Linked DNA regions of Oryzias latipes. The protein of the gene in region 1 interacts with the protein of each later gene in a pairwise test. Links are inferred from orthologs where the notes say so. Each region holds a gene or a part of one and is shown on either strand. Other genes may lie near its edges.

Region 1 (3,533 bases):
ATTTCACAACATCACCTTACTATAAATGACTAAATAAATAATCAAATAAAACGCTTAATCAATTATTGAAGATGGTTATAATGATTGAATTCAAATTATATTAATTCACTTGATCAAAAAAGTCATGATTTGTTATGTTTATTTTCGGATAGTGTTATTTGTTCTTAATCATAAACATGATTTTTCTAATGAAATGAATCTGAATATATTCTAGTATATTCTGTATGTGGTATGTTATTAAACAAAATAGTTATAACTACTCTACATAAGTATGAAGTAGTTCATCATTGTCATGTGATTTATTGATACTTAAACATACGTAATGACCTGAAAGTGTTGGTAAGGCATTGATGACAGATGAAAAGTTATGATAATGATCAATCATGTAATAAAATGGTTACGGTAGAACAGAGGTGGGATTATAGAAGTTCTCTTCCTTCCACTCCGTTACAAGCAATCTTTGATTTAATGTCTAATTATCCTAAGTTTGATACGTCTTTGAATGAATGTATGAATGTTTATTGTATTGTTTTGTGCTTTATTCAGTGATTGCTTGAAATAAACCATTTCAAATCAGAAAAATTTCAAATAAATTCTAATTTCATATTTCACTGACCTGCTTCTACGTCATGTACAACATTTTTTTACTGCCAGGCTGTTACTAAGGAGATGACGGCTAAGATTGTTGGTAAAACAGTCTCTACGTTTTAATCAGACATGTGCGCAAAACTTCATTTAGATTCTAGAAAACATCTAAACCTGTTTTGGCCGTCTGGGCCCATGAACACAGTTTAATTCTAATCTGATCTTTGATCCGATCAAAGATATTTTGCAAATGTAGCTGCAGCTATTGTGAATCTGCTAAAAATAATAGAAGCTTTTCTGAATCCTTTTTCCCATCCTAGTGGGGTTTTACCTTTGCCCCTGTCCCATTCCCTGATGTGAGGGACTCCTGGTTTGGTGTCCCTCCTCTCCTGAATCTCCACTTCCACTCTCTTCAGAGTGCTGACCTCTGGGGGGTCATCAGGCTGAGGGAAGGGTCCGAATGTTTCCTCCTCCTCTACTGTGTCTGCAAAAAGAAAAGAAAAAGAAATCCCAACATGCATGAGACTAGAGAACGTTCTTCAAGTTTAAATTTAGACCTTTTTATGGGCGTGCAGAGCAATTAGTAAAGACCAATTTTCCATTTTTTCCTGATTTATGCTCAAAGCTGTAGCTTCTTATCCTGTTTGTGCGGCGATGCTTTAGCGCACATCTCCCTTCTTTGTCTTTCAAACTGGCGGGGGTCCTTCAGTGTTTTGGTACATAACGATTGGATCTACAAATGTTTATTTAGATTATTTTACAAAAACAAACAACATTAAAAAATTGAAGTTCCATCAAGAAATGTCAAACGGAGACGTTTTCGAACAGCACAATTTTAAATTCAGGACTTTTTAAGGTGTTTATTCCAAATTCAGTGCATTTAGGACCTTTTATGACTAGGCAGGAAGCCTGTTACAGGACAGATCGAGCCATATTGTTTTTCTAGGGCTGTTACAGATTATTAGTAGTCAATAACTGATATTTGGAGCTGATAGTCATTTGTCCAAAAAAAGTCAACATTTTGATAATACCAGCACAAACAATTAACTGAGTATTTAAAACACAAGTCAATGAAAAAAGCAAACCAATAGTTCCTAGAAATGCGGGGAGTAAAAGGCTCAGCAGCATCGTTTGTTACTTTTTAAAAGTTAAATTAAAAGTTCTCAGAAAGTTTTTATAGTAAATAAAGTAAAACTCCAAAGCATGAATGAAATGACTTCTCTTTGTGAGAAGTTGAAACACAAACAAAAAGCTAGCGTTAACACTTTGTTTAACATGTTATTAACGTGTTATTAATGCATTAGTGTGTTAAAAGTGACCCCCCCCGGTTGCTAGTAGCATGACACGCAGAAGTCTGAGTGCGTGGCTTGCATAACCAATCAGACGGCGGCGTGGGCGGGACATTGCTGGAGACAGAGCGGCGCAGCTGCATCTGAGCCAAACTAACCAATTCTGAGTCGACCCATCAGATTAAACAAAAAAATAAATAAAAAAGGCCGTTCCTGAAGAAAACGTATCGTATCGATGATTCTAGTTTACTGCATAAATGTATTAGCTTTCAGTAAATATTGAAATGACTTACCTTTACTCTCTTCCTCAGTGCCATCTAACTTTGCCTTCTTCATCTTCCTCTGCCTCACCTTGGCGAGTCTAGCCTTCAGGATGGCCTGCCTTTTCTCCTTCAGTCGTTCTCTTTTGGTCCGTTGATCGGTTGTCTGAAGGTGAAGATGAAAGGATGACGATGAAGGTCCAATAATCATCTACTTAGACTCCAATCCAGTTATTTTGTTCATCAGAATGAGGGAACGAGGACTTTAACAACTAAGAAAATCAGACATGATCTTAGGAGCAAAATCTTAAAGTGGGGCCTTGAGATAAATATGTTTCTGTAACATTTCTGTTTAGTAAATAACGTTTTCTCTTCTCCTTTGGCCTCCATATTGATTGCTATGTACAGGACTGTTTTTTTTTGTACTCTTCCTAAAATGTCTTTTCATCCACATTTATCATCTTTTGAACATTGACAAACGTTTTCTGAGCGAGCTTTCACTGCAGAAAAACAACCCACCTGATCCCTGAGCATGTCCAGAGTTTCCCTCTGCTTCCTGCGCTGCTCTTGATCCTGAGAGAAAGCAAAGTAGCCAACACCGAGCTCTCGAGCCTCTGACATGCCAAGAAGTAGAAGAAGAAGAAAAAATAACAAGTTATCACAGCAAAAATGAGGTTTTCCATTTTTTTTTCTTTCATTTTGTAAAAATCCAATTGAAATGAAGTCAACCTTGAGCTCGGATATCCTCGTAGTGGATCGGTCCGACCGGCCTCTTCATGGCCTCCTCTTCCTCCCTTTCCCACTCCTGCCTCTGCAGCTCGCGGCGCATGTCCTCCGACAATAAAGTCTTGTCAGATGAGATTATTCTGCAAACAAAAGTTCTAGTTAAAGGCTAAAAATGTGGATGGTGAAGCTACAGAACCCAGACTGTTGGAAGCAAATGTGGCCCAAACGAAGGCAATGCGCATTATGAAGCTTTATATAAAAGCTGAGTGGGCCACAAGCTCCCTTCTCCACCCCCCCAGAGGGGAATTTCTGATGAATTCCTGCTGCTCCTCAGAAACTATGTCCTAAAAATCAACAAAGGTTTTTTTTTTTTTTTTTTTTTTATTTGGGCCAAAAACAACGTCATTGTAATTGAAAGACCACTGGGGACGATTTAAAAATAGATCAAAAGATGATCCGAGTGGGACTTTAAGCATAATCCCATGTCAGTACTGTGAGGTTTTCTTGTTTTTTAATAGAATTGTAGATGTTTTCAGGAGACATCACAGCGTTAGAAATAAGGGAAAAAAATGGTTGTCCTGGAAAGTAATATTTGGTTTTCCTCCCCAATTTTTGGTTGTCCTTCGACACCAATATTCAACAGCAATGTAACCTACTCAGATGTCAGTTCTTA
Region 2 (5,389 bases), on another chromosome or scaffold:
ACTCACCGATGGAAGTCTGGTAGTTTACAAACCCTGATCATTGTGTTTGTTTTTCCAACATAAAGACAAGACTCTGTTCAGAACGACTGGAGGACATTTACAGGGACTGAGCTCATGTGGACGATAACCAAACCCTGAGCCCGGTCCCCTTTATGGACATTTGCTTCATGAGACAAACGCTCGCCCAGACGCTTGGATGTTGACCTCTGCTGGTCTTTCCTGGACTCGGGTTTCAGTGTAAAGCCGATGTGTGTGCACCAACCTTTCTCTTGGTGTTGCAGAAGATGACCGCCTGTGTGATGGTCAGAGTGTCGTACAGGTCACACAGAGTGTCGAACTTCCACTCCTCCCTCTCCACGGCTACAAAGAACTGCTTGATGCCCTCCAAGGTCAGCTCATCACTGAGGCAGAGACAAATGCCGGTCACTCACTGCTGCTGGAAGCCCACCGCTTCAGAGCTCATCGGCGGACTCACCGTTTGACCAGAATGCGGATGGGGTCGGTCATGAACTTGTTGGTCATCTCCAGGATCTCGTGTGGCAGCGTGGCGCTGATCAGGACCACTTGCGTGGCTGGAGGCAGGTAGCGGTACACATCATAGATCTGCTCCTTAAATCCTGCCAAAGACAAAGCAGCGGCTGTGACTACCCAGATGGTCACATGACTGACGCCATCGTGTCCTTACGCCACAAACAGGAAGTGATTTAGGTGACCAATAACCAAACTCTGTCCAATCATGAGCCTATTATTGAAGATTAGACCAGGAAGAAGCAGAAATGATGGAAACAAGGAAGCAGAAGGAAAAAACACATTGGTTTGTTTCTGCTGTCAGAGACTGAAAATGAAGTCTCAGAGATGTCAGGTGCTCCAAACCGGAGAAAGGCTGCTCCTGATTTTTGGTCCCTGAGACCCAGAAGCATCTCCGTCTCTGAGGCCGGCCCCAAACCTCTCAGAGAGCTCGTAGTTTAGGACGGTCTGCCAGAACTTCAGCCATGACGGCGGCTTTGACTGACCAGGGTCATTCAGGAAGTGCAGTCACGCCGGAACTCAACTACAGCATTCCCATCGCGGGAGTTGCCTTCTAAAATAACCGGCCACAGGTGAAATCCACAAGCTAGCTGTCAACATTTCCAGACTTTTCTCTTAAAGTTCAAGCCTTCGTAGAAAAATCCGTCCAGGATTCTAGAATGAAAAAGATCTGATGGCGACGAAGAGCAAAAACACCAACAGCCAAGCAAAGATGTGTGGTGGTGAGATGAAGACCTCCCCATGCGCTACAGAGACCACCACCCCCACCCCCCAAAAGCTCTGCTCCCCCACGAATCTGGAATGTTAAAGCAGAAATCTGAAACCATTCTCTGCAGTGACACTAGCAACACTACAGACATGAATTTAAAGTTCTGACCCTGCTAGCGGTTCTGCTGAAGATTCTGCTGAAGGTTCTTCCTAACCTTCACTTAGAACATCTCCATGTCACCGTTAAAATTCACTGAAGTGTTGCTTTAAACGTCCTAAACAGGAAGTGGTGACATCGCGGCCCGATGGCGTCAAATGGACTTTTCAAATCTGACACATTAAGCCGAAAACACGACCACTGAAAGGAAAGGTGACCTTCAAGTGTGTCTGGAACAGGTGGTTCCAACCTGGAAGGACCAACCCTTCCTGCTCCTTCAACACATTTCAGACGTAACCAAAGGTGCCAGAGTTATTCTGATGACCAGCAGGTGAGCTTTCAGCTCAGACAGAGCTGCTTTGCAGGTACAGAAGACGCTGAACAGCAGAGGACCTCACCTTTGTTCAGCATCTCATCAGCTTCATCCAACACCAGCATCTTGATAGCTCTGGTCCTGAGACTGCGGCGCCGAATCATGTCTGTAAAGAGACGCCGTCAGCATTCCCGTTTGTGCCACTTTTGCCATAAAACCCATTGAACCCACCAAAAACCCGTCCAGGGGTGCCAGCTACCACGTGCTGGCCGTAGTCCAGCTTGCGAATGTCCTCGCCCACGTTGGTTCCTCCGATGCAGGCGTGACACTGAACGTTCATGTAGTCTCCCAGAGCCAGCAGCACCTGCACACAGGACACCGTGACTGGCACCGCCGCCTCTACCTTACAAGCCTTTGGCTGAACATGGCGGTGGAGGCGGGGCTACCTTCTGAATCTGTCCGGCCAGCTCTCTGGTTGGAGCAAGAATTAGAGCCTGGGTCTCCCTGACCTGCAGAAGGAACAGCATCACCACCGAGCTGCAAACGGGTTCTGGCCCGTCTGTCACGGGACACAAGAACAGCAAGAACTCACCTGGATGTCCAGACACTGCAGGACGGAAATACAGAAAGTGGCCGTCTTTCCTGTTCCAGACTGGGACCTGAATGCAGCACAGATCACACGTTACAGCATGGAGGACCAGAGCACCTGCATGTTTTCCAGCCCAGACTTACTGAGCGATGACATCTCTGCCTTTGATGATCTGCTTGATGGCTCTCTGCTGAATGGCTGAAGGCTTCTCGAAACCTGTAACAGAACCAGAACCTGGTCAGGTGCTGTCCATCTTCATTTCCACATAGAGAAACCTCATCTGAGAAGTTCCCATGCTGCTCAAACTGAGGGGGACCAAAGTGGGAAGTTCTGGTGATGCTGACCAGAAAGAAAAGTTTTAGTCCCACAGAAAGGATTTCTATGGAGAAACTGGGTTTTAGGGGTAAAGAAGGATCCTCTCAAGCACAATAGTCCAGGAAAATGTAGAGAATTCATCTTTATCAGTGCAACACTTCAATATTACTGTAGATACAAATCTGATCGATTCTGTCTATTGGGATTTCTCCCGTCCTTTTGGGTCCAGATAATATGTTCATAAAATGTTCTGCCGTCTGGAGAAGACAGAACACATGAACAGAAACAAAATTAAAATACACATTAAGACAGAAGTGTTGACATATATTTATTAATAGTTCTGGGGGAAATTAGTAAAATATTCGCTACATATACGAAGCCATATAGGATGGGAACCGTCTAACTCCTGGATCATGACTGTTACGAGCAACAATACCAACAAAGATCGTGTCCAGGCATTACTGAACGAAACCCGCAAATTTTAGTATCTGGTTTTCGTTTAGTAAATAATCAACACGAATTTAAACTAATTTCATGTCAGCGCGGCCGCACGCGGCCTTAGCATGCTAGCATGAAGGCTAAAAAGATGAAGTTTTTCTTCCCGCCAACGACAAAATGATCAGGTCACACCAATCTACCCGCTTTAATGTAAGTTATTACGGGATGTAGTCTGATACCAACTACGTTTTCATTCCTTTTTTAAGGTGAACTGAACCACACAGCGGATTTAGGCTTAGCATCTGGAGGCGGAGGCCTCTCGAATCCACCGGCCTACCGTAGGCGTAGATTCCCCGGAGCAGGTCCTCACGGAGCCCCATGGTGTCGAAGGTAGGGGTGACATCCACCTCTTCACTGGTTTCAAACTCCACCTTGGTCATGTCCTCCTCCTTCAGGAGTCTTCTCCTGCCCGGTGTCCCAGCAGCGGCCATGACGGTCGTGTCTGTCTTCAAAACGAATCGGTAGTCTCCGCAAAAGGGGGGTAACCGCTTTGCTAGCTACTAACAGCGCTCCACGTGTCGCTCTGCTTACGTCATCAGCAGGCGACCAGGTTTATCAGGCGGAAGAGCAATTGTTTTTCGTTTGGAAAAAACATTTGAGGTTTACAATATTGTGGCAGCTGTATAAAGTGTCAAACCACAATTAAAACAGATGTAACCAACTTCCTGGATCTTTTATTTTGGGAGAGGTGTGTCCCTCCCGGGTTACCCTAATTGACCAGCTGGCCAAGATGTTGTTGTCCCATGGGGGGGGAATGGGATGACCATTTGAAATCTGTTGCTTTTGCTTACAACATCTCCAAGCACACCAGCACACGGTTTACTCCCTTTTATCTTATGCACGGGCGCGAAGCCCGGACCCCGGCAGAGGTTCTCATTCCTAGTGGGGTTGGTGGCATTGGCAGTGCAGCCACGCTGCCTTTATACGCGTCGTCTCTTGTGGAGCGGCTGGAGATTGCTTTCAGTGCAGCGAGGGTTAATGCAGCAGAGGCGCAGGAGAAACAGAAACTGTACCATGATGAGAACTCTCACCACAAGGGCTTTACAGAGGGTGCTCTGGTCTGGCTTAATAACCCAACAGAGGGCCGCACAAAACTAGCACCGCACTGGAAAGGTCCCTATCGTGTGGATCGGGTTCTGGCTTCAGGTGCAGAGGCCGCTTTGACATATCGCATTGTCAACCCCCTGGATATGTCTGAGCGGGCCCAGGTTGTTCATCATGACAGGTTAAAACGTTACACTCTTCCCCTGCCTGCTGGTTCCCCAAACGACAGTATGTCCACCCCGCCATCATCCTCTCCTTCGGCGGGTACTTCATTGGACCCCCCAGATAATGGTGATCCACCCCAACAGGGTCAGAGGGACGCGTTTGGGACAGCCCCTGCACACTCCCGCAGTGGCAGAATGGTGCGTGCTCCAACACGTTATCAGGACTTTATTAGGATGTAACAATACAGAGTTATGTCACAGTGAAATTTTTGTTGGTGTTGTGAGGAGACTGTCATATGTTGTTGTGTTTTCCTTCCTTGAAAGATTCTGTTGAATAATATGCTGTTGGTTGGCAGGCAATGTTGTATTATTATTCAGATTTTTTTTTTTCCTCTCCCTCCTGTGGTGGGAAATTTGCCGGTGGGTTCTGTAAACTCATGTTGTTCCTGTTTGGTTGACTTTTGTTGACGCCATATTGGGTCTCGAATGTTTATTTCTTAATTCATTTATTTTATTTATTTTTTTGCACTCCCCGGCCTGTTGCATTTCCTGTAGAAATTGTAGAAATGAGGACATTTCTTTTGAAAGGGTGGACGTATGTAACCAACTTCCTGGATCTTTTATTTTGGGAGAGGTGTGTCCCTCCCGGGTTACCCTAGAGACCAGGGGGCGTGGCAAGTTAAATTTGGGAGAGTAGAAGAAGAAGAATAAAGAATTGGTGAGCGGATCCACTAAATGGCGGACCTGTTGTCCCGTGTCGTTTATGACCACAGAGTGAATGATTATTGAACCTCCCCCATCGCTCGGTTACACAGATATAGAAAAAAGTTAACAACGTTAATAAAGTTAAGTAAAAACAAATACAAAAAACAATAAAGAAATAAAATACAAACTTAAATAAGACGGATTAAAATAAAATAAAGGGGATATCCACGGGCATTGCAATGATCATGAATTTAGGGATTATCAAAAAGCTGTAAATTATGAAATCATGATACTTAGGAGTTCCATAGCAAGTTTATTTTCCATGATGATGTTTACAGAAGAAAAAGATCAGAGTTCTTCATGAAATG

Evidence for each region.
Region 2: the proteins of ccdc174 (region 1) and eif4a3 interact in binary tests that used the Homo sapiens proteins (3 or more experiments, as listed by UniProt). The two-hybrid records come from large-scale screens. The link is inferred for Oryzias latipes from reciprocal best matches to the Homo sapiens genes CCDC174 and EIF4A3.

What each region holds. Positions count from the first base shown.
Region 1 is NC_019863.2:3,864,614-3,868,146, forward strand, and holds part of ccdc174 (coiled-coil domain-containing protein 174), read right to left. Parts: intron 3,001-3,533; coding exon 2,864-3,000; intron 2,749-2,863; coding exon 2,654-2,748; intron 2,301-2,653; coding exon 2,168-2,300; intron 1,070-2,167; coding exon 917-1,069; intron 1-916. UniProt on the Homo sapiens protein: Probably involved in neuronal development.
Region 2 is NC_019859.2:157,349-162,737, forward strand, and holds the start of eif4a3 (eukaryotic initiation factor 4A-III), read right to left. Parts: upstream 3,643-5,389; 5' UTR 3,540-3,642; coding exon 3,386-3,539; intron 2,512-3,385; coding exon 2,439-2,511; intron 2,366-2,438; coding exon 2,299-2,365; intron 2,216-2,298; coding exon 2,153-2,215; intron 2,071-2,152; coding exon 1,938-2,070; intron 1,873-1,937; coding exon 1,792-1,872; intron 618-1,791; coding exon 476-617; intron 402-475; coding exon 263-401; intron 1-262. UniProt on the Homo sapiens protein: ATP-dependent RNA helicase. Involved in pre-mRNA splicing as component of the spliceosome. Core component of the splicing-dependent multiprotein exon junction complex (EJC) deposited at splice junctions on mRNAs.